Schizosaccharomyces pombe: one gene and its partner. The gene in region 2 interacts genetically with the main gene of each other region. Each region holds a gene or a part of one and is shown on either strand. Other genes may lie near its edges. The genes, in order: san1 and deg1.

What was found.
Region 1: mutations in deg1 (region 2) and san1 together harm fitness more than expected from each alone (negative genetic interaction), as found in Schizosaccharomyces pombe (one large-scale study listed by BioGRID).

The regions. Positions count from the first base shown.
Region 1 is NC_003423.3:2,944,478-2,963,062, forward strand, and holds san1 (RING finger protein), read right to left. Parts: upstream 10,982-18,585; 5' UTR 10,565-10,981; coding exon 8,339-10,564; 3' UTR 8,118-8,338; downstream 1-8,117. Other genes in the region: top1 (DNA topoisomerase I), read right to left, coding at 1-37, 91-103; HOPS/CORVET complex subunit, vacuolar sorting protein Vps33, read right to left, coding at 689-1,458, 1,510-1,782, 1,823-2,501, 2,547-2,603; SPOM_SPBC2A9.02 (NAD-dependent epimerase/dehydratase family protein), read left to right, coding at 4,171-5,058; SPOM_SPBC2A9.03 (WD repeat-containing protein), read left to right, coding at 6,683-6,719, 6,777-8,020; putative transport protein Tvp23, read right to left, coding at 11,992-12,427, 12,489-12,655; nus1 (ditrans,polycis-decaprenylcistransferase), read right to left, coding at 13,110-13,576, 13,644-13,953; hpz1 (zf-PARP type zinc finger protein Hpz1, implicated in DNA repair), read right to left, coding at 14,601-14,652, 14,695-15,303, 15,402-15,450, 15,542-15,572; SPOM_SPBC2A9.13 (uncharacterized protein), read left to right, coding at 16,012-16,048, 16,143-16,252; SPOM_SPBC2A9.14 (uncharacterized protein), read right to left, coding at 16,126-16,225, 16,333-16,433; SNARE protein Sec22, read right to left, coding at 17,191-17,495, 17,559-17,722, 17,788-17,932, 18,142-18,175; and 1 more.
Region 2 is NC_003424.3:4,158,768-4,164,707, reverse strand, and holds deg1 (tRNA-pseudouridine synthase), read right to left. Parts: upstream 1,990-5,940; 5' UTR 1,909-1,989; coding exon 556-1,908; 3' UTR 501-555; downstream 1-500. Other genes in the region: dia4 (serine--tRNA (Ser) ligase), read left to right, coding at 1-51, 109-430; splicing suppressor Mss51, read left to right, coding at 2,720-3,856; phosphatidylserine decarboxylase Psd2, read right to left, coding at 4,330-5,880.

The DNA of each region.
Region 1 (18,585 bases), on a different chromosome or scaffold from region 2:
TGCCTCCTTCTAATGGATAAAGACACGGAATCTGAATCTTTTCAGTTGTTAAAAATTTTGCAAATGTTGTTAAATTACGTGAAACCTTACCAGACGAAGACATTGTGAATTGTTTGCATACATCTATAATACAGTAAAAGAAGGATTAATATTGAGTACGTACACTCGTTGTCATGACAACCAAATATTGACAATTAATGTTTGTAAAAATTAGTAGCTAAATGAGAAACTGGAATTTTCAAATAAAATAAAATTTAATGTTACGAAGCTTGCAGCAAAAAGCTATAAATGTGCATATTTCAAAATAAACCCATTAACAGTACGAGAAAAGTAATCTCTAATAATTTTGAAAGCTTTAACTTTACATTTATTGTAAACAATACCAAAAGCCACTGAATATCCAAAACAAAAAAAAGGTGATTTGATTGATACAATAAGCCATTAGCTGCCAAATATTGGAGGTTTATTATTTAATATGTAAGCTAATATTTTGGCAGTAAATAGCAAATAGCTTAACAGCATATAGGGAAAGCTTTAATGCCACTTCAAATTCATAAACTACTAAGGACTTAATAAAGTGGGTTAATAAAAAAAACAATAATTAAAATTATGGGATTCTCTTAGTGAAAAAAAATGAGATTAAATATCGTCTTTAGCTGTTGAACAAATTAATGAAACTGGGTGATCATCACTCATTCAAAGATTCAATATTTGGAATAAAAGCTCTTATTAGAGAGCTTCCAGTTACCATTCCCGTAGTCATAAATGTGAATTCATATAAATCTTCTTTTTCTTGCAATAAACGAAATGCAGCCAGCTCTGTGTACGTGCAACCACCGATGAAAAAAACTAAAACACGACGTTTACCTGGTACGTTTGTCTTCAAATTTTTAGGCATGACCTTTTCCTGGTCTAATGTCCACTTGTCAACGTAAGTTCCAGGCATATTTTGCAACTTAAGAATTTTTTCTTCATTGTCTCTGCCTTTTAAAATGTCATATGCTATGTGGACTGACAAAGGACCGTACCCGCTGTACGTATAGGCTATATCTTCAGGATTCTGCTCATCAACTTCGTCCTTAACCAAAGGATAAGTGTTTAACCATGTAGAATAAGACAATGATTTTTGAAGTGAAATATTAGTGGATTGCCGGAGGCGCAATAGTCCTGCATCTATCAAGGCTTGGAATGTTAAAAGGTGATAATAACCATATGTTTGAGTGATTTCCCTACGGTAATGATCTATATCTTTTCTTCTCAAACCATTGGTAGTTATACTTGCAAGGCAAAGTACTCGAAAAACCTCTTCAACAGGTGCTTCGGCATAGATAATTTCATCTAATAAATTGAATTGAGTAAAAGAATCGGCATGAGAAACTAGCAAATGCTGAAGTTGTAGTAGCTTTTGAAAGTAATTATTTTTTGTGTGTTGCACCAAAGTTTCAGCGAGACCAGTGTCTATCTAATTAATAAAATTTTTTATGGAAATCAAAAGAAAAAAATACTTACGAATATTTAATGATGTATGCTCCGATTGTAAGGAACCCAGTTTGGAAACGAAGTCTCTAATCTGATTTACAGTTTTGGCTTGACGTCGACCTTCAAAATCGCTGGATAGTTTTCGAGCAATTTTGCTTAAATAAGGGCCTATGCAATTAAAATTTATGTCTCTAATTTCCTTGGTAATTTGGCTGGAAGAAGAACTTAAAGAAAACTTTTTCATCGGTCCAGTATTTGAAGCTTCATTTCGGTTAACCAAGGATGAAGGAAGTTTGACATTCACTAATCAGTTAGATAAATAATAAACAAATATGAATCATACTTTGCTGAATTCCAAGTATTTCGTCCAAAAATCCAAAGTAGGTAAGTTGAGTCAAAAACGGTGTAATACGATCTAATGATCGATCAACTAAAAGAACGCTATCGTAGAGAGCAGAAATCTCTCCTTCCACCTTCCCAAAGTTTATTGTTGCTTCTTCCTGGTATGTTTTTTCTAATAATTCCAACATTTTTGCAGCATAGGGGCCCCTCCCAGAGACTCGAGGAAACCGTCCATGAGTGCGTTCAAAATCAATTAAAGCATCTGTACTTCGTTGAAGTAAGCTTTCTTCCAATTTCTCTGGACCAAGTTCTAATGACAAAAGGTCCTTGTCCAAGGGTACGGCATGTAACGGCCATTCAGTCACAAGTAATTCTCCAAACACACCCTCCTCTTGCAGTACCGTCTCAAAGAGGATATTTGAGGTAGGCAAAACAATTACTGTGCTCTCAATGCGTAACATATCCCTTTGAAATTGACGAACATGAGTAGCAACTAGTTTGGCATTTTCATAAGTTGGTCTGCACAAGTAGATTGTCTTTTTCTCAATATCATTTGGAATATTTTCATTAAACCAATAAACCTGAGGTATTCCATGTTCTTGTAAAGTATTGGTAGTAACTATTTGACCTAAAATTCCTGACAGATCACGTTCCAAGAGCAAACTTTTTTTCCCAGTAACCTTTAACACATTATCATTAGCATGTCACTTTTCAAATCCACATACACTGTCTATTAAATCTAACAACTTAAATGTAGCTTTTTCTTTAACGTCTGTAGTCATCAAGCCATGAATTGAGTCCACCAACTCTTTAGGACGTCTGCAGTTAAATGGAGGTAGAGGGAAACACTAGAATGACACTTGATTTCACAAAGCAAAACCCTTAGATGTTAATATTACACAACGTAAATAAAATAGAAAAGAACGGAATGATTTTTCCAACAGTTATTGTTAACTTTAAAAGGTATTGCGACTTTAAAACATGTATAGTGAATTAAGAGCTTCTTGACATGCATCGCAATTGTATTTCACTAACAATACTTAATAAAATAAAAACTACTTTATTGATAAAATTAGGAAAATTTTTCATTTCGTTTTTAAGCTAAAAGGTTTTATAGTTTCAAACAAACTAGTTTCTTTTAATTTGCTATTTAAACTTGTTGACAAGGCAAACTGAAAGTAATGTTACAGCACCTAAGTTAGCAAAATCTATTTATTATTCCGTAACTATAGTGTGTGTTGAGTTATCTTGTTTAATTATTGAAGGAATTAACGATTACTACGATGTCATTTGAATAATGTAAAAAATTGTTTCGCCGAGATTTAGTTTTTCTGTAGCATCAGTAAGGTTATCAATGATTGCAAGATTTGTTCATGAACCATAGAGTTTAAAAAAAAAACAATTGAATTGTTTCGTTAACATGTATGTTTTTTGCGCTTGGTGAAAGCTGGCCAAAACACTGTTTTTAATGGTAACGTATATATAACAGAAGAGCTTATACCTCCCACTTGATGTATAGCTTGAGATAAGTAACGAAAACATTATAGCACACTTAATTTTAGCAGTAAATAGTCATATTACTGGAAATCTCATGCAGGAAATTTAGCGCGATCAGCCAGTCGGCTTTCAGGCAACAGAAAATCATCCATACCCATAGATCGCCAAGCGCCGGATGAGTCTATATCGAGCAAATCCAGCAGCACTCATTGTGCTAGATAGACCGTGGAAATGACCAGCAAACACATCTGATTTTATCGAGTATTCTCACCGTTCGTTATAATTCTTAGCGGATTCGTACTCTTTGTATTCATCGCAAAGAGCAAAGAGACCCTGACAGTAAAACCAAAGAAGAGTATAGAAAGAACGAGGCCGTCTATTACAGGTCCATGTTACTAAGGATTACAGATCGTAATATGCTAAAACGTGAGACAACATATATTTCTTCCAATGATCACCTTATACGATTAAATAAAATAGAATATAAATGACCGATCGTCAACAATAGGTTTTTTCATAACGTCCTAGGCGAGGAAACACCAGTTCCTGTTCGATCATTTGCAGCTAAATGCTCCAAGGCCTCATAAATACTATGGTTGGAGACCTAAGGAATCCAGTATTCTGCATGCTCACTTCTTTTTGTTAATTAATATATGCTTGCATCTTTTTTAAATCCTCCATTTGTTCGTTACTGATTAACAAGCTTAGTCATATAGGAAGAATAAACTGTCGCTCTTTTACGTCATGATCGCTTACCTGTGGTCTTTATATATCGTTTAATTTACTTTATACCAATGAGTATGTATTCGTACATAAGGAGGTGATCCGAGAACAGTATCTTCTTAAGCAATTATGCGTATATTTGTAACTGGTGCAGCTGGGTTTATTGGCTCTGAAATAGTGAGACAGCTTCTTGAAGCCGGACATGAAGTGGTTGGTCTGGTGCGCTCAGAAGAAAACGCGGCAAAACTCAGAGCTGCTGGAGGCACACCTTACATTGGTACACTTGAAGATTTGGATACACTGAAAAAAGGAGTAGCGCAATGTGATGGCGTTATTCACACGGCTTTCGTTCACGACTTTAGTATATATCAAGAGGCCTGTAAGCTTGACGCTCGTGTCATTGAAGCTATCGGCGAAGTCCTTAGAGGAACTGAGCGTCCTTTGATTACCACTTCTGTAACCGCTGTGCTTTCTTCCAACGGTAAGTTAGGCACCGAGATAAGTGAAGTTCCCCAACCACCAATTCCACGCCAATTAGGAGAGGTGACAACTCTTAAATTTGCATCTCAAGGAGTACGTGCTTCAATCCTTCGCCTTCCACCTACCGTTCATGGAGCAGGAGATCACGCATTTGTGCCCATGCTCATTAACGTGGCCAAAAATAAAGGTGTTTCTGCTTATATCGGTAATGGTATGAATTGTTGGCCTGCCGTTCATAGAACTGATGCTGCTAATTTGTTTGTATTAGCTCTAGAAAAAGAAACTGCTGGTTCCATTTATCATGCTGTTGCCGAAGAAGGTATTCCGATCAAAGAAATCGCAGGCATGATTGGCAAACGACTTGATATACCTGTCATCTCCGTATCTTCTGAAGAAGCCACCGAACATTTTGGATTTCTTTCCAGCTTTTTGTCTGTTGATAATCCAACTTCAAGTATTCTTACGCAGCAACGTTTAGGTTGGAAGCCTACGCATTCTACACTAATGACTGATTTGGCCAGTGATGCGTACTTTTAAGCTCAGATGGAAGAATAATGTCAACTCAATAATGATTGCTAAGTTCATTCGAAAGGAGGAGTTTGTGCCTTTATGCTTTTGTCAATATTGGAGCATTTTTGCTTGCAAAATATATTACTATATTTGTAGACAGAAGTCCTATATTGATTGATTGTTTAAACATCAATTTAGAGAATATGCTAATATTTGTGTTGGAGTTGCTTTACGTTTTGATTTGATTTTGGTTTATAGATGAATTATTATCCATTTGAAACATTACAGACGCGTGAATATACTAGGCCACTAATAAACTCTAGCCAAAAATGCGAGTTTCTCACTTTTTTTTTGAAAATTGTAAATCTTGCTCTTTTTGTTCGCTTTGCAAAATCCCACTTTTGATACTAATGGTGTTGTGTTGGCTATAAACGTGATTTGACAAATATTGATGACAATGAACCTTCAAATCCACAAAGTACAGTGAAAATTATAGTTGTCACTATGAGATAGGAAATTAATAGGAAAAGAAGCTCTGTAGTACCGAACTAACGTAAAACCCTTCGACCTCAAATACAGTGGTCGGACAGAAACTGCTGTTTTCGTCTAGTGTGCTCGTAGGCATAATATTGTTTATTAGAATTACTTTATTTGCTTTTTTTTATATATTTAAAAAGGTTATAGTAAAACGTTCTTCTGTAATTTCAAATTACGATTACCGACCTGTGGGAGGGCAATCTTTGTAATTGCTTCAAAAAGCTTTTGATTTATGAAAAACTATTTATCCTTTTTCCAAAAGGGACCAATTTAAATGCGAATTCTTGGGTGTTAGTTTTACAATAAGCAACAATAATATAAATTTTGAATGGAATGCTTTTAATTTGAGGTAACATTACTTAAAGACTAATCGTATGGATTAAATTAAGTCTGTTAACATCCTAGTCTTAATTTTATATAGAATGGTAAAACCAGAAAAGTAAAATCCTATAGAGAAACGAGCCCAGCCGATAGCAAACCAAGACATCTACCCTAAATCAGGATCGTTTTGGAAATTGATAGAGTTGCAATGTAGATTTAGATTGCAAGTGTTTCTCGTACATATTACTCAATGGAGACGTCCACCTTCGGCTTCGTGAATCAACTTCGTTCTCTATATTCTGAAGGATTTCATTCTCTTCAAAAAACCTTAAATAAATCCAAAATAATTAGCGAGCTTTTCTTTTCAGTGATGCTTCAGCATAATGGTTAATGTTTTGGCCGTACCTCTTTAAGTATGTATATTTGTTTAAATTCAAAACGATCAACATTGGTGATTTTTAAAACTTAGAAAGATCAATTGGAGGTTTTCGTCCATTGACAAACGAAATTGGCTTTGCAATTTTGGTTACGCCTCTGTTTATGATAATTTTATACCTTTGAGCTAAAGACCTCTTTATGCTTATTTTGTTTTCACTTAGGTTCATACGTATAAAATCTTTAAGATTAATTGCCGAAAATCGTTAGCGAAAGAGTCAATTGGTCCTTGCAACGTCGATTGTCCTTCTCTCATTTCTTCCATGAGGCGATCTTGTCCTTCTCTAATTTTTTATTTGATTTCCTTTTTGTTCTACAGCCATACAGATAATATTTATTTTAAATTAAATATTTCTATATGTCCAATGGAGAATTTATAGACCAGTATTTGCTTCGTAAGTAAATTAAACGTGCAGTCCGTTGGTTGCTCTGAAAGCTAATGCTAAAACTAGCTGAAAGTGGAGCTATACTTCAAGATTATCTAGATGATTATTTTTACACTTCTTGGTATACAGGAAACCGGAATTTAATTCAGTTAGACCACTATGGATTCCCCACTGCATCAAATTTTGAATTGAACCCAAAAAGCACCGATAATTGTGGGACAGTGGATTTTCAAGGAATTCCCTGGGGAAATAAAGCAATTGGTAAACGGAAAAACTTTCGTCTTTATCGATTACACACTTATAGCCTGTCTTGCAATCATTCAGACTGGTCACCCGAAGAGCTATCGCTAGATACTGTACAAGTCGCCGCTGAAGACTCGTTTTATGAATTTCAAAGATTTTTGAAAAATCCTAATTGCTTGCGGAATCATCACCATCTTTGCAAAAGCGTAAAGGTGGTTGGTGAGCATTCTGTCATTTATGTGAGCAATAACAGCATCAGAATGGAAAACACATTGCATGATAATTCTGTTCAAATCATTGACCTTAAGAATAATATCCTTCAGAAAAAAGCGATATCATGTTTGGATACTACAAATGCCGTAGGATGTCTGGGAACATTGTATGGACAATATTGTATTTTCAATTTTAAAAACGGAAGTTTTAGTACTCGTAAGCTTTCAGATGATTCGATTAATCATATTCAACTTTTTTCCGAAAAAAAATTCATCCTTGGCTGTAATGATGGTGCTGTTTATGTGGAAGATGTCCAGCGTACTAGCCCCATTCTTGTTTACAGGTGTTCAAATGCTGTTAACTGCGTCCAACTTTTTGATGAAACTCCATTAGCGCTTGTATGCACGGATTCGAAAGACGCCATGTTAATAGATATTAGATCAAATTCCGTTTCAGCCAAACTTCCCCATTCCGACTCTGTACTTACTGGTTCGTGGCATCCAAATGGAAATATTTTGGCTACTGGAGGACAAGATACAACGGCTAAAGTTTGGGACATACGTGCCCTTGGTAAGTCGTTTCGAAATCTAGGTAGCCAAATGAGTGCTGTGACGAATTTGTGCTTTTCTCCATTAGGTGAAAGCTTAGCTGTCACGGAACAAGCCGATTTTGTTCAACTTTTTGATACTAAATTATTTAATACATCCCAAGTTATTGACTTTTTTGGAGAAATCGCCGGAACCGCTTACTCATCTTCTGGCGACAGTTTATTTATTGGTGTAGACGATCCCATGTTGGGTGGCATTTTAGAATTTAGGAGACCTTTACAACATCCGCTATCTTTCATATTTTAATTCTTTAACTCATTGAGTCATTTAATCTTATAATAATAAATTCCTTGGTACCAAACAAAACTATTAATGAACGTTGAAAAAAATAATGAGATTTTTTGTAATAGTCAAATAATCATTTAGTTTATAGGAGAGCAAATAATATAGATGATAAGTATTGAGATATAAATAATACAAAAACAATAAAAATCTATATAGCATGAAATATTGATACTCTAAAGGGACATCACCAAATTTGTATTGAAGATTTAAAAAGGCATAATAAACAAACAACTATATTTTTCATGATAAAGATAACAAAAGAGTAAAAAAACACAAACATTACTTATGCTCTTCATTACGACATTTTGGGCATTCTCCAATTTCTTCGTCCATTTGATTTTCGGAGTTGCTAGTAGATTGCTGGCATCTTTCATGTACTGAATGACCGCATTCGAAGTGCACAAATCTATCATTAGGATCACAAATGCCTTGATCCTCAAGCTGACACTGAGGACGCGTTGAGCTAGGTCTGCTATACGGATGATGCCGATTTGATCGTCTAGCAATCGGAGCAGCCATTCGAGGAGTGCTAGTTCCCGACGAAACCTTGCTAGTATCACCGGCATCACTACCAACAACGTCCGACGGAGTGGATATCGCAGGCTGGTCTACCGCAACATTACTCAAGGTGTCTACAGCAATGGAAGAATGGGTAGGAGTTTGATTTCGTGATCCTGCAACTTCACTCGAGTTTTCGTATTCGCCAGGAATATTTATCTCATCGGAAGGTTGTCGCCCGGCAGTGTCAACATTAATGCTGCTTCCAGCAGCTGATTGCTGAGCAGGGGTGCTCGATTCACTTCTAGTTTGATTCATTCGATTCTCCATTTCTTCCTGAAACCTTTGCAAAATGCGCTGCCCCATTTCACTGAGATGGGTAATACCAGGACCTTGGAAAGAGCCATTGCTTGGAGGTCTACTTGAATCTTCCATCGTAGCATCTGTACTTCTAGTACCTTCCCTTGAAACCGCTTCAGAAGGAGTTTCCTGTTCGCTAACTGCAGGTTGTAAAGGCGGTCTCGACAAGTATATATGAATTACTGGATGAACAGCAGGGGAGGAACCATTATTTGGTGTATTTGTACCCATAGTTACAGCATTTTGCTGATTTAAATTCTGTAGATTGGGAACTGCGGACGTAGCGTTGCTGTTGGTGTCGTCAGTATTCTCTGGCAACGTTTGACCGTTTTCAGTCTGCGCATTGTGATCGGGATGGAAAATTCCATTTAAATTAAGCAGGTTATTATTACCGCTAGGACGGAACATAGACTCAAGAACAGCTGGTAAATCGGCTAATGAAGGAAGACCATGGAACGTCATTAACTGTGTAAAAGGCCTTTCAGATCGATTCGTATTTGCAGGGATATTTGTTTGGCTTCCAGGAAGCCATGAAGTTGATTCAGGCGAAGCCGTTGGAAGATTTAGCAAATTGGGAGGCTGTATTGAAGGTGACGGCTCAACTGGTCTAGCTGGAGCATTTTGAGAGGGCAAGTTACTAGTTGGCAAGTCTGTGGAAGTACTATTCGTCATACTACCAGAATTAGAGGTAAGATTCGAAGTCATAGGTTCATTAGAGGAAGGGCGATCAGGCATAGATGAAAAGAAAGCATTAAATAAGGACGTAAGCGTCGAAGGACGAGAATCCGAAGGAGTAGTCTCTTGTCTAGAGCTAGCATTTTCGGCATCAATAGAGGCACCTTCTCCTGCTAAGGGCTCACTACGAGTAGTAGGTGTTGAGGTGTTTGAGTCAGGGTTTTCAGGGTGAGTATTTTCAACAGGGGTATTGGTGGCAGATCGATTTGGAGCTAGAATAAAACGTATTCGGTTAAAAGCAATGCGATGCAGTTGCCGAGCTGGTTCGTCTACGCCGGTTCGACCATCAGTGTTTGCATTGTTAAGCTCCTCAGATGGATGAAAGTCGGAATGAACACCATTTGATGCATTTTCTTGAGAAACCGCGGTGTTGCCTTGGTTGCCACGAAGCGTATGTGAGTGTGGAATGATAAATAAAATAGGAGGATGAGCTGAACCTACTGTTTCGTGGGGAACCTCTTTTCTACAAAGAGGACATGTACAATGATTTTCAAGCCATTTTTGTAAACAATTTTTACCGAATATGTGGCCACATGGCATCTTGGTAGCCTGCTTTTCATCATTTTCATTCATATCATCGTAACAGATCGGACAAGTCAAATCCATCAGTTGGTCATTAGACAAAGGTTCGAAAGAATCCCAGGCTTCTTTTACAGCGCGTTTTACGGGTGGTTGAAAGGGATTGGCAAACGGATCATTTTCTCCACCCTCGAAATTGGCTTGAGGAGTTATGATAAACATTGTACCAATTGAAAAAGCAACTGGTTGAGTCCCCGTGGTAGGGTGGGTACCTTCTTCACCCTCAGTTGCTTCACTGTTTGGATTACGATTCAAATAGTCATCATGCCCTTCAGATGATTGTCTCTCGTTTGATGATGCATGAGAATTATTCTCATTTGTATTGGAATCCATTTAAAACAGATAATTGTAACAGGAGATTCTATACAAAAAACTAGTACCTCAGTGGTCTAATAATAAAACCAAAAAAAAGAAATAAAACGACCACAATAAAGTCGAATCTAAATAAATAAAGCAGTACTCAAAATAAAAACAACAAATAAGACAAAGGAAATATTTGTAGGAGACTTATTATATACAAAGGAGGAATATGGTAAAATATGATTGCTGCGGTAATAAAAAAACAGGAATCAAAAATTTAATGGTAAGGAAAATGTAACATTCTCCATCGGGGTTTTCTGGCCACTGAATATTTCAATATTTATTTAGGCAAGCAAAAAAAAAAGTAAATAGAAAATAAAAGACGTTATAGAATGTTATAAAGTGCACCTTTCCACTTAAACTATCTTTTAAGGTGCAAAATGTGGTGTTGAACAAAATAGAAAACCAGGGACTTCCATTATATATTGCCAATAGAGACAGTGAACATGTGGGCGTTCATTAGGACATTCAATACCTTAATATTTTTAAGGAGTTATAAAAGGTTCTCCTTATTTGATAGTTGGGAGGTTTGTTGACATAAAGCATATGAAAACCGAAATTCTGCGAATCGTGTAAGAAACCGCATATCCTTGAATTTATAATTGACATTTAAGCTAATGCTTTATATATGTACTAAAAAAATGATATGCTCTTTAGTAAAGGAATCATCTAAATACATATTTTGCCATTTAAAATATGTATATTAGAAACTAACAATTACATATTCTTTCCGCTTTTATTATGCTGTTATAAGAACTTCGTTTCAATATATGTTCATCACTAATAAGAAAGTATTAAATTTTAAGTTCACAGCAAACACACGCAGGAACATAGTTGTCGAAATAAAAAGTAGCACCAAACTTTGAAGTTTCGTTCATCGGTATCTTATTAAGCACTCCATGCGTAAATATTTGAAGTCTAACTAAGAATGTTATCAATGGAAAAATAAATGTAGTGGGTTTCAAAAGATCTCAGTTGGCCTTCATGAAACTTTGTGTGATAGTATTAACCATAAAAGAATGTATGAATAAAAGAACGTAATGTGCACCTAAAAATAACCATTGGGCTCTATTCAAATATTCAATCAGAAAAGAAGATATATGCTTGAAAGTAACAGTATGGGAGGTTATATAAACTCATACTAAAATACAGGATCCGTCATACAGTCTTTTGGCTTTTGTATTATAAAAATACGTAATCAGTTGATGCTTAAGGATTCAAATTGACGCTCTGTCATTTCAAAGTTGGGAAGTAAAAACACAATATCGTTCCAGCGCTTTCGTCAATTTAATTAACAAGCAAATCGTTAAGCCAGAATCCCATGAAATTAGCTTTTTCATATACAATGAGCTTAAAATGCAATGTAGTTCGAAAAATTATTTACAGAATTTGAAAGAGCTTTAACCAATAAATCTCTTGATAAAAGCCCTAGATAAAAATCTGGAAACAAATCCAGAAGAATTGGAATCTGCAAGTTCTGTAGCCCAACGACGCTTCGCGTCTTTGTCACAACGACTGTAAGCAGCGGTGTTAACACTTGTCAGTCCAATTGCGACAGCAACGAGTGCAAGCCAGAGAAATTCAAATCGAATTATAGCTACAATCCCCAATATGATCCAAATAAATGGATATAGATAGAGAGCGTACCAAAACGTCTTCTGATCAACGGCGTTTCTGGGACGACTGGGATCTGCCGATTCGAAAATCCAAATGCTTTCACCATCAACTCCAGTTTCATTTCTCCATCTCAAACCAACTAGTAAACGACCAGAGACGTTTTTAACAGTCCAAAGATCAACAGCTAGCAAAGTGAAAATTACAATAAACAACAACATACTATTTTTATTTGTTTAGCTCAATTTCTTTTTCTTTTAAATTTCTGCTATTAAAAACTTACAAACTTGAGGTAAAGAACATGCCCAATATGTATGCCACAATTGCACCGGTACGAAATAAAAGAAAGAAGAAAAGAGCTACAGGATGCGAAGACATTTGAAACATCTGCGGTAGCCTACTAGCATTCCTTTCCTGCTCGGCAATTGTCTCCGTATTTTGATAGTCCATTTTCGTCAACGTGATATGGTTATCAACGTAAAGGTTTCGATCCAAAGAGGTGAACATCTCAGCAGGGGTTTGACAGTATGCGAATAAGGAACCTTAACGAAGATTCTTATTGTGTAGCAAGCCTGGTTTTCTAAAAGATCGTATTCGAAAGTGAATGTTTAGTTGTTAATTTAAGTTTTATAATATTCTTCTAACGAAAATGTTTATTAAATTTTTTTAAAACTGTAATGCATATAATATCCAAAGTATGAATCTGACTGCCTGTCTGTTTAATTTTGTTAATGCCTATCATCTAAGCATTTGAAGTAAATTAAATTTTTCTGTAATACTGAATTCCTAATTTTATTAACAAAATCCAAAAAGCATTTTAGACAAGAAGTAACAAAAACCTCAAGAAGACAACTTGATAAATTTTTGGTAGCTTTTGGCTTTTCATATTTAAATTTATAAAACCTCAGTGCCCTAACCGCATTTCTGCATTCGAGTAATGAACAAGTGCTTTAAAGAATGTTAGGTAATTTGTTGTATATAAAATAGGATCATGAAATATTTCACATAATCTAAGCTGCCAAGGTGGAAATCCTTGCAACTTAAGCAGAGGAGCAAATATGATTAGTAAGTCTGGTTCAGGTATTACGCTCTCCTTCAATTCTTTATCAATCAATTCCAGTGTAACTTGGGTGCTACTGATAACTTTTTTAGTACATAAATCCGCTAAACCTCTAGTTAAATCGATGATAGCATCTCGACCATCTTCTTTCGCTATAAGATGAACCTTTAAATCGACACAGTCATTTTGATTTTTTTCATCAGGAGAGCAAGGATTAGTTACATGGACGGTACACTTGTCACCTCCAAGATAGAATGGCAGGTGAGAGTAAATAGCTTTTTCAACAGCTTCGGGAGATTGCTTTAAAAACCCTAAAATCTGTTAATAAATGTAATCAAATAGTAATGGAATTTCAAAACTTCAACTGCAATTATATACCTTTACGTTCATAAATCGTAAGTTCGCGAATATTAGAACAAACACACCAAGCAGATAATTCACAAGCATCATGAATAAGGCCCTCTATACCTCCATCTTCTACACACTCAATAATAACGGCGATGTGTTTTGGTTTCTTCTTTAATTTTTTCGTATCGCGTCTTATAAGATCTCTACTACAATGGTGATGATACAAAAAATTCAGTAAATAACTGCATGTCCAAAAAACCCAATTTTTTGCCCAATCCCAGGCACCATAAACGCTTTGTATAACCCATAAAGCTAAATAAAAGAAAATATCATCATACATGTTTGTGAACACTGGTTGTCAGAATTCGAACCTATTTAATTTAGGTTGAACTCTGTAGTTTTTTTATATTTAGGGGTATAAATTGGATTTTAAATATGAACAAACAAACTTTTTAAGTTTGAAACTTCCTAGGAACAATTTACAGCTATGAGAAGACAACTGGCGATGTTTATGAACTGCAGGCTGCAATGTTGGGTGGTGTGCTGAGGTACTTTGTGATACCAACACGAACAATGAAAGCTGCTCTTTCTGAAAAAATCGATGTATCGAAGTTTTATCTTTTTTTGTTATAGGGTATTTTTTAAAGTTAACTCTAGATAATTCGTACAAATGATATACAGTGTCTAGCCGTATGGAATCAATACCTTGTGTGGTAAGATAATTCACTATTTCAACAACTTCTTTAATAAGTGCGAATTGATAAGAGGATTAGAAATTATATTAACGGAGTTGTGATTCTGAGTATTTTTAAAGTTGCACCAAGGCGATAGAGTTTAATTTGTAAAATAATGAAAATGACATGGACTTTATTATTTCATAAAAGTATACAATTTAATTAGGATCGAAGGAAATTCCATGTAGATAAAGATTCTGCTGAAGTGTTAAAAAAAAACAAGAATAAAGCAGAAATGATTGAAAGCATGTTTTTAATCACTGTCAGAATATTCATTTCCGCTTTCTGCGTAATCCACTTTTCGCCTTTTACTTGTATTAGTAGTGCTGCCATATAATTTCACATACCTTGCAGACCGCCTAGGTCGCTGGGAAGCAATAGTGGAGACTCCTTCTGTTTCATCTTCACTATCCTTAACGACTAACTCATCATCGTCTTCTTCATCGCCAGACCATGGTTTTTCTTCCTCGTCTTTGTCAGATGCAACATCTTCTATCTCCTCATCATCTTCAAGTATTTCAATTTTTGGAGATGGAGATCGCTTCCTTTCGGCTTTATGTTTTTTGTTAGGGACCGATGACTTTTCAACACTTTTTCTCTTATGAGATTTTCTCAAATCTTGTATGGGCTCTTTCTCCTCTTCAGAAGTAAGTTCTCCTTCTTCAATCTTCCTGTCTTTTTCTTCAGAAGCGTCGGAAGCCATTTTTCTGCATCGTTCTTCATCTTCTTCATCAACATGACCTTGCTCAAAAGCGCGAAGGATTTTTTCTTGAACTATAGGATCGTTCAATTCATTAAATCCATCCAAACAATTCTTAATATCTCCTTCAAATTTTTTGTTTACATTGCGAAGAACACGTTCCGTAACACATCCCCAATGCCTCCATTTCCAGCTTTGGAATTTACCAACATCGACAAATGTTCCAAACCTTAGATCTCCTTTCCCTATTTTCGATCTAAAAATGGTTAACTGATGATAGTTCCTTTTATTTTTCGAATGCTGTGCATAATGATTTGGACAACTACATAAATTCTGGTAAATAGCTATATATACCTTCCGCAAACCGTTCCTTTGCATTCTGCTCTGCCAGTTTTTGCAAGTTCTGCAATCGTTAGAAATTGGATTTAATGTATAAATTATTAAAGCGAATCCATTGAAATGCTCGTAAATATACGTGTCATATTAACACATACCTACTCGATAACCAGCGCCAGATTCAGCCATAATTTGAAAAGCAGTAAAACACCAAAAAAACACTTAAATCCAAAAAAATATAACGCTGGATTATTAATTTAAGTAGGCATAAATCACTAAACACACAGCTTACAAATTTTGAAAGAAAACAAAAGCTGTGACCATGTGCTTTAGTAGTCTATGAGCGTGACACTTAAATCGGCAATCTAAATAACAAGATAAAGCAACCCCCTTACAATACCAGCCTCTTGTATACTACTTTTCAGCAAGACGAATAGGTAATTGGCAATTGTATACAAGATTCTGGTATTTAATAAATACATGTCAGCTACTCTTACAATAAGCCGTATTACGAACACAGGCATTTCATTTACCAAAGTAATTTATTGAATCCCTAAAGTCGTTAATGTGGAATATCGAGAATCATCCGGGTTTAAGCCATTACCCTACCAATCAGTATTAAGGAATTATGCAAGTTGTTGTAAACAATGCTGGTGATTTACAAAGTATGTTAGGAATTTTCGTTATTTAGGAAGAATGAAAGTCTTTTACATGTCGGGTCTTTCAGTTAATGTATGGCATGCTAAACTTTGTATACAGTTGTATATGAGATGAAATCGGCTGTAGTAAAGAGAGCAGAATTCCTGGGTGTGGGCGGTTGTACACGAACGATAGGTATCGATCTAAAGAAAGGAGTCAGCAACTTTTAATGTCCAACATACATACTAATAAGACAAAGGGAATAAAGGAAGAAAAGAAAAAGTAATAAAATTTGATTCTAAGTACTTACGAAGAGTGTTTTATTTTGAATATTTTCTTAACCCGATTTGGAAAGGTGGATGTAAAATGTCGTTTCCATGAGGATTTTTGAAGTGTTTCGTTTTCTGTCATTATATTATAGCACAATTTTTTTCATTAACAATAATTGTGCAATTACAAAAAAAGGAGTTGCTCACGAAAATCGTAATTAACAAATAGAATAATAAATGTACACGAGGATTCAATGGGAATTAATTAGAATACGACGTTAAAAGAGAGACAATAATTACTGCTAGAAGTTGATGAAAAGCAAGGCGTTCATTATATATAATAGTTGAGTGCTGGCTTACAACGTCAAAACAAACTTAAAAACTGGGGTATGGTGGCTGAAATAATATAAAAAATAATGTATAGCGGTAACAACACCTTGATTTTATTCGTTTATAGAGCTATAATTAAAACAGTAATAAAAATAAAAAGCTAAGGAGGGTTTATTAGAATATTTCCATAGCCATTCAGACACTCTCCTCTACACGGCATAGCGGTGCGATTCGATAAACCAGCTTAGTTATGGGAAAGGATGCACAAGGGATGGAAAACAAACACTTCAACTATACATATATGTTTATACAATATTTAGCTATGTTCAAACAGACTCAAGATAGATAGAGCAGATGTGAATCAAAGCAGGTTGCACAAATGTCAGCAAAGATGAATAAGGTAAAATAATTACTACAATAAACAAAACAAATGATGGGCAAACTTTTTGTTTCTATGTCTAATTATGGGATCCATTATTGAATTTCGTTTCTGGTTTGTAAATATTGAAGAAAAGGTCATTAAAGATTTCTTATTCCTAAACTTAAACGTCCGTAAATAGAATCGTGAATCAAGCGAAAAAACGCCAATAGACAAAAATCAGAAACAAAAGGGCAATAATCGAAACAGGGCCGTACTGCCTCCAAAGTGCTTCCAAGTTAACGCGACGAGCCGCTTTTTTGTACTTGGCACTAGAGTAACGCAAATCTGAACTGAGATCCGCCATTTTTTCTAAGGAATCACCTCGATACAGTAAATCTTCAATATTCTTGGTCATGACACGGGTTACATCTTTCAGCTCAGTGTTGAGTTTATCAAGGTTATCATTGGCACGCGGGGTATTATAAACTCTTTTTGATTTTTGCATAAAGGTGTCTAGAAATTGTTAGTTATTTCAATCGCAAAAAAAATAAGTTAAGTCAATAAATAAAGGCATACCAAATTGAACAAATGCATAAGGACGTAATCCAGGTTGTAATGCTTCTTCGCCGAAACTATTCCAAAACTCGCCTGCAAGTTCTTCCAGATACGAAAACGCTAATTTTCGAGGATACGACTGTTCGCAAATACATAAATAACATATTCCGTTGTCGATGAGATAACTAGACGTTTGGTTAGATCTAAAATTGAGATTCCGTTTGCTATTCGTATACACAATTAAACTTACTGAAATGTATAATCACCAGACTCAATAGAAGCCCTTTTTTCCGATGTAGGACTTAGTCTTTTAAGGATCAATTTGGCTTGTTTCTTATGGCTTTCCAAATTTCTTTCTGTTGATTCATCATCCACGCTAGCGGCAAGCGGAAGACCTTAAATTCATCAGTTAGTATTTATAAGTAATTTTCATTTGAACGGGTATTAGTTAAATAGAAAGCAAAAAAAAGCAAAAATGAGAATTGAGAATTGAGGCAATCACGAAATAATTTTAACATACAACTCTCATTTTACTCAACGAAGACCAGTCTTTATGGTTTCAGCAACAGAAAATTAACTAATCCCACTTTGTAGGTATACATACCATCAAGTCTAGTAACTGTGGTAGATTTTACCATATTGTACAATCGCGTGCTTTGGATACATTCAACGTACCCAAAGCGTTTACAACCTAGTCAAACGAACCTACGGTACCATCGATATCGATAATACCGTATTTAAGTATGCTTCGTTATACTACAATACTGAAGCAACATGTTTAGTTAATCGTTCCTATAATAGGTAAATACACACATCACTTTGCAACGGGATTAATAAAAGGAATATATCCAAATGAATCCTGACGAAGATACCGAATGGTATGGAGGATGAATAGTTGTAACAATAGAAGTTAACAAATCAGGAATGATATTTTACGTTCGAAGGGAATTTTACCCGAAAAAGAACCTGATGTGGATGATGTTTTAGACGATGCGTTGGTCGATGCAAAGCAGCTTGCCCACGAGAATCGGTTGGAAAACAAGGATCT
Region 2 (5,940 bases):
GATTGTTAATTTTCAAAAAGAGTTTGTAGAAACTTTAAAAATACCCGCAAGGTACATATCAAATCTAACAAAAATACCACTTTAATGATCTAATGCTAACGAATATAGAATTTTGAATATGCCAACTGCGGAATTGGGATCTTCGGCCTCTCAAAAATATGACATCGAAGCGTGGATGCCAGCGCGACAATCATACGGGGAGATAACTTCAGCATCTAATTGTCTTGAATACCAAGCTAGGCGTCTACTCACACGATATCGAAATGACAAAGACTCGGGTTTTGTTCACACACTGAACGGCACAGCAGCTGCCATCCCTAGGTTAATAATAGCTATCCTTGAAAATCACCAACAAGAGGATGGCACTGTTAAAGTTCCGGAAACCCTTGTCCCTTACATACACAAGGAATACCTTTTTAAAGCAAAATAATTTTAGTACATCATAAGTCTTACTTACAACTAATTATTTAAGAAGGTTATACTAAAATTGATAATATATTTTGGACCAAAATAAAATTAGCAATTAACCTAAAACCTGTTCTGTCATAAGACAATCTATTTAATATTTTCACTCTTCACGTCACTGTCTTTTAAACCTTTTTTACGTTTATATCTTTCATTGACGACCTCCACTGATTCCTGACGTTGTCTAGAAAGAATTGGGATGTACTTTTTTGTTCGCTTCAGCAATCCTTCACCAACGTTCATAGTACTGCTTGACTCTTCCGATTTGCCATATCTTTTTACATTATGATCTGCTATGTCAAGCATAAACGAAGCTATCTGCTCTCGAATACGTAGACTATGCCACTGATGATATATGGTTTCATATGTATGTTTAGCGATACGAGGAGCAGTCGTAGGACTATCCGTAGGTAGTGTCCATTCAATATTATCAAAGTCACAGTCGTACAAAATCAAAGGATACTCACTTGCCATATCATAAATTGGCTTAGTAGGGACCTTTTTAATATCCAAAAGATCATTGATGAGAGAGGCCGGCTCAAGCTTTTGACCAATTAAAAATAGAATGGCCATCATACATCGTACCTGATGCCATAAAAATGCAGTTCCTTGTAGGTCAAAAGCGTAAAGACCGGTACTGGGATCAATGCAAATAACCTTTGAACTGAGAATTCGACGGTGATAATTTGTAATTTGTTTAGAAGCATCTATTTTGCAAAAATTTCGAAAGTCATGCTCACCTAGATAAAGTGCTGCGGCTTCATTCATTCGATCAATGTCAAGAGAACCACCGGGATAATCCTTAGTAAACAAGTATTTATAATGACGCTGTTTACAGGAAAATCGAGCATCAAAGCCTTCTGGTGGAAATGCATAGCCAGTAATACGTATATCTGCGGGCAACAGGCGATTCAATACATCACAATATATGATAGGTCTTCTTTCTGAATGTCGTACATTTAATGATATAACCTGACCCATGGCTGAAACTCCCTTATCAGTACGTCCACATCGACTAAAGGAACATGATGAAGGATCAGTGATGAGATGAGCTCTCAACAGCGCTTCAAACACCTTTCCTTCAACAGTGGGCAAAGGAGTCGGTTCTAACTGGTAGGCAAGACCATTGTAATTCCAACCACAATAGGCAAATTTAAAAGCAACAAAAACTGTTTTTTCTAGTTGAAACGGTCTGACAGGTTTCAGTTTTGGAAGACTACTTGCGTCCTGAAGCGCATGTTGCAAAACTAGTTCTTGGCTCAGATGCTGGGGTTCTATTTCATTTCCATTATCCAATTTGTTTTTATTTTTAATTACTTCATTTTTCCCCTCAATTTCTTTATTGGGAAGTGAATTTGTATTTTTTTGCAATTTCCCGTCCAATTCTAAAATTCTGGATATTAGCTGGTCTCGAGACCATCCAGCATATTTGGAGGCGGGCATTCGAAGGATTTTAGAAAATTGAAAAATCTTGCCTGAATTATATTGCCAATTTAATTACTGCCTTTGACGAGGTCAGGTGGCAGACGAATAGGTTCGCAAGGCTCTGATAATTAATGACTTGCTTGTCATAAGAGGCAGACATTTTCGCAGTAAAGTTATAAATCATCTATGTAACATTGAGAATTTATCAGATATATTTTTAGTTGCTCATTAGTACAACAGCTTTGGGATTCTGTATGGTCAGTTTGCAGTCTTGTTGGGCCAGCTGGAACTGTTACTAAAATATTGAGTTCACTTTACATTACGAGCAATGAAAATTATAGAAGCTTAGATTAACACAGCTACTTTCGAGATGATTCGTATTCCTTATAGTTGCATTGTAGACTTCCAATAAAGAAAGTGCATTTCCCGTTATGCAATTGATTTACTAGATAGTTCTTTAATATCAACATTATTGAAAATCACCTCTTTGTTGAGTCAACTCAATACTTAATATTTTTTTAAAGAATAAAATTCGCTACTGAATGTCGGTTGCTAATGAACAAAGCAATTGCTTCTACGAACTAATTTGTTAATTTTTTTTACTAAGCATTTCAATAGTTTGCCTTGTTAACGTATTTTTTATGTTCCTTGACATTTTTAATTTTAGTTTCTTCGTCTGCTACTAAACACGTTCACCTAAATCAATACTTGTTAAATTTAGCTGCAACACCGACATAAAAATTTATTTCATTACCTATAGTTACATTGAAACCGGTAGAAGGTTGTTTTTTGGTTCAAGAGTGACGTTTCGCTTATATTTTTTTTACTTATGTCGTTTTTAAAAAATCTCTTCAAGAAGAAATCCCCAACTCATGAATTATTCCATCCTTTATCGCGTTCTCCCTTAACGGCTCTTCGCCGTCGCTCTGAGCATATCAAACAAGTCTATCGGTGTCCAATTTCGGGAAAGTCAGTGGAATATGAGTGTCCTGAATCTGGATTTCCTACTCATTGTAATAGAACTCATTGGGAACAGGACAAGATTCACCAATCCCTTATCCCAAAACTACGCCAAATTAATGAAGACTATCATGACTTAGCACGACCAAACCCTTTGCCGGAACTACTCAAACTTCCTGGACCCATGGAAGAAGATGAAGTAGTTTCTCTTCTGTCATGGGATTCATTCTTCTATACCCGCGATTTCCCAAAGTTCCAATCGTCTAGAACTGCTAGACATATTACTAGTTTATTAACATATCCCATGTCAATCGGCGCTATCCTTCACAAGAATTCTCCTTATAATTTAAAAAATGGGTTAACTCCCCAGGGTCTACAATCATTAACTGCTCTACGATATATGCTTCATCGTCCTTTGTCTGCTCAATCTACTGATCCCAGACCCACTAGAATTTTCGTTTTGGGTGCTACCAAAGAATGTTCATTACCACCATCAATTTGGTTACAAGGATTGAACTTTTTGTTCCCAGGTCGTTTATTTCAATTGCATTTTATCGGACCTGAAGTTGTTGTTCCTTCTAAGCAACCCAATTTGCCTTCCCCACTCAGCCTTCATTTTCATCAGGATTACTACCACAATTTGCATAGAGTTGGAGCCTTTGAGCCTTTTGACCCCTACTATGATACTTTTTTTCTTCCGATGCCTCTTATAAGTCATCCACTTTATTCTTCATCGTGGATTCCGACACTTCACGATTTGGTATCGACTCGTTGCTCTGTATGGCTCACAAGTCCTTCATCTCAAAGAACAACCAAAGATTTGGAAGTTCTTAATAATGTTTTGAAAGATTCAATTGAGCCCTTGTTATTGCCAACTGTTAATAAATTTGCCAGCTTAGGCTGGTCTGTTGATGATTCAAACCTTCATGAAGTTTATCACGCAAATCAAGAAGTATTTGGATTCAGAGCCCTTTATTATAATGTCCAAAATGTTTCCAAAGAGTAATTCTTGTCCGTTAAGTCGTCTACCATCTTCCAATTTCATATTCTAATCTAAAAGCAATCTATTAATGAATTTTAAGGTCCAAATTTTGGATTGTGAATAAACAAAATATTAGTATATATGTAATGATTATCAATTACGAATTTTGAAAAGAAGACATGCCACCTTATGTCAAAACAAGCTAACCATACTTATTTTTAAACATTTTCATTACTACTTTAAAGGTGTATCAATAAAATAAATTTATTGGGTGTCAATTCTTTAAATTGGAATGTAATTAAGTAAATAGTAACTATAATTATGGGTTTATAAACGCAATATCAATTTAAATAAAAAGAAGATCAAAAGCAAATGGGTTAATTTAATTAATTCATCACATACAAATGATTATTTAGAATACACACATTCTCATACTAACAATAACTTATATCAGGGATAATCCAGCGATTAATAAAAATTATCCCGATTTATCCTGTTTAGAGGGCCTCTCCAACACGAACATATTGGCCTTGATAAGTGGAAAACTCAAAGTCGGCAGGTGCTTCGAATACCAAAACAACGGTACTTCCGAGTTGAAACCCACCAACTTGTTCGCCACGACTAACTGGCATACCGTCTAAAACAGGAGAAGCGTTCTTGTAAACTGCTTCTTGAAACGTACCTAATGACTTCTTCCGTAAGACGAGGCGATTGGTAGATAAAGTAGGATCACAATTAATGACAATGCTACCCACATTGGTTGCACCTACAGGAATCATACTCATAAATCCATGTTCGTAACGACCCAATAATGCTACGCGTTCATTCAACACAAAAAGGTTGTGTAGTCTTCGCGCCAAAAATGGAGAAACACTAAAGAGTTCACCTGAAAAGTGACGCCTAGATTCAATAACCCAATCAGCAGGAGAGTGAAATCTATGATAGTCACCTGGTGCTAAGTAAATCACAGAGTAAAACAGCTTATTGCCAGGACGGATATTGTGCCAAGGTAATGAGTCAATGTCCGTAACGTCAGCTTCTTGTACCCAATCATCCCAGTTAGTTGGTTCGTGTTCAAGAATTGAAGCAGGAGCAGATTCAAAATCACTAGATGACTCACTCCTCAAGTCATCGTCACCTCCAAGGTTATTCAGATCGAAATTGCTTGAGGGAGAGAGTCGTTTTCCGCATGAGCTACGAACGGAATTTGAAATATCTTCAAAGGCAGAAAAGGGACAGAAATAATTTAAGGAATTACGAGAGTCATTAAGATAAAAATGCGGATGGTCAGTAAAAGCACAAAGAAGTGCTTCCTCGTCAGAATGTTCATCCACAACGGCAGCTGAAGCATCAGCTTTACGATAGCGGTTATTAGAATTTAAGGAAATTGAGTGTTGTTCAGCAAATTGCTCGTGCTTTTGAATAAGATCAGGAGTTATTTCATCCTCAAAGTTGACGACTAAAGGATTCGAACTTGATATACCTCCTAAAAGAGCTTCAAGAGAGTAAGAAAGACCTTTGACATGCTGAATTCGATTATTATCGACAACTCCCTGACAAACGATACGGCCATCTACCGGTGATACGACAGGAGAAACAGGATCAACGGGTCTAGTCTCTGGACGAAGCTCACGGCAAAAGAAATCTTGAAAATTACGGTAATGAGTCAAATCAGGATCCTTCAATTCGCTTAAATTGCATCCAAAAACCCAAGCATATAGTTTAAATCCGGGTGTACGCAAAAAAGTAGGTAAATGAGCTCTGTTAAATTGTCCCCAGACACGAGAAAGGCTCCTTAATGGAAGAGAGCTTAATAAATATACCTGCCAGGAACCATTAGGACGGACACTTATAGAAAGGCGCCCCAAGCGGCGACTCCTGCGAATGCGATGGATACGATTTGAGATCCATTTTAATCTCATGGAAACGCGTACGTTCATTCCATTTAGGGCCTTAACACCTTTCAAAGCGCCGACACCACCGAAGCCTCGAAGGTTAACTTTTGACCAACGAGGATGAAAACGACGAAATCTTTGACGAGGACGCATGTTTGATCGGTATAAATTTCCTTAGTTAGGTATGCTAAATCTAAAATTGAAAACTTGTAA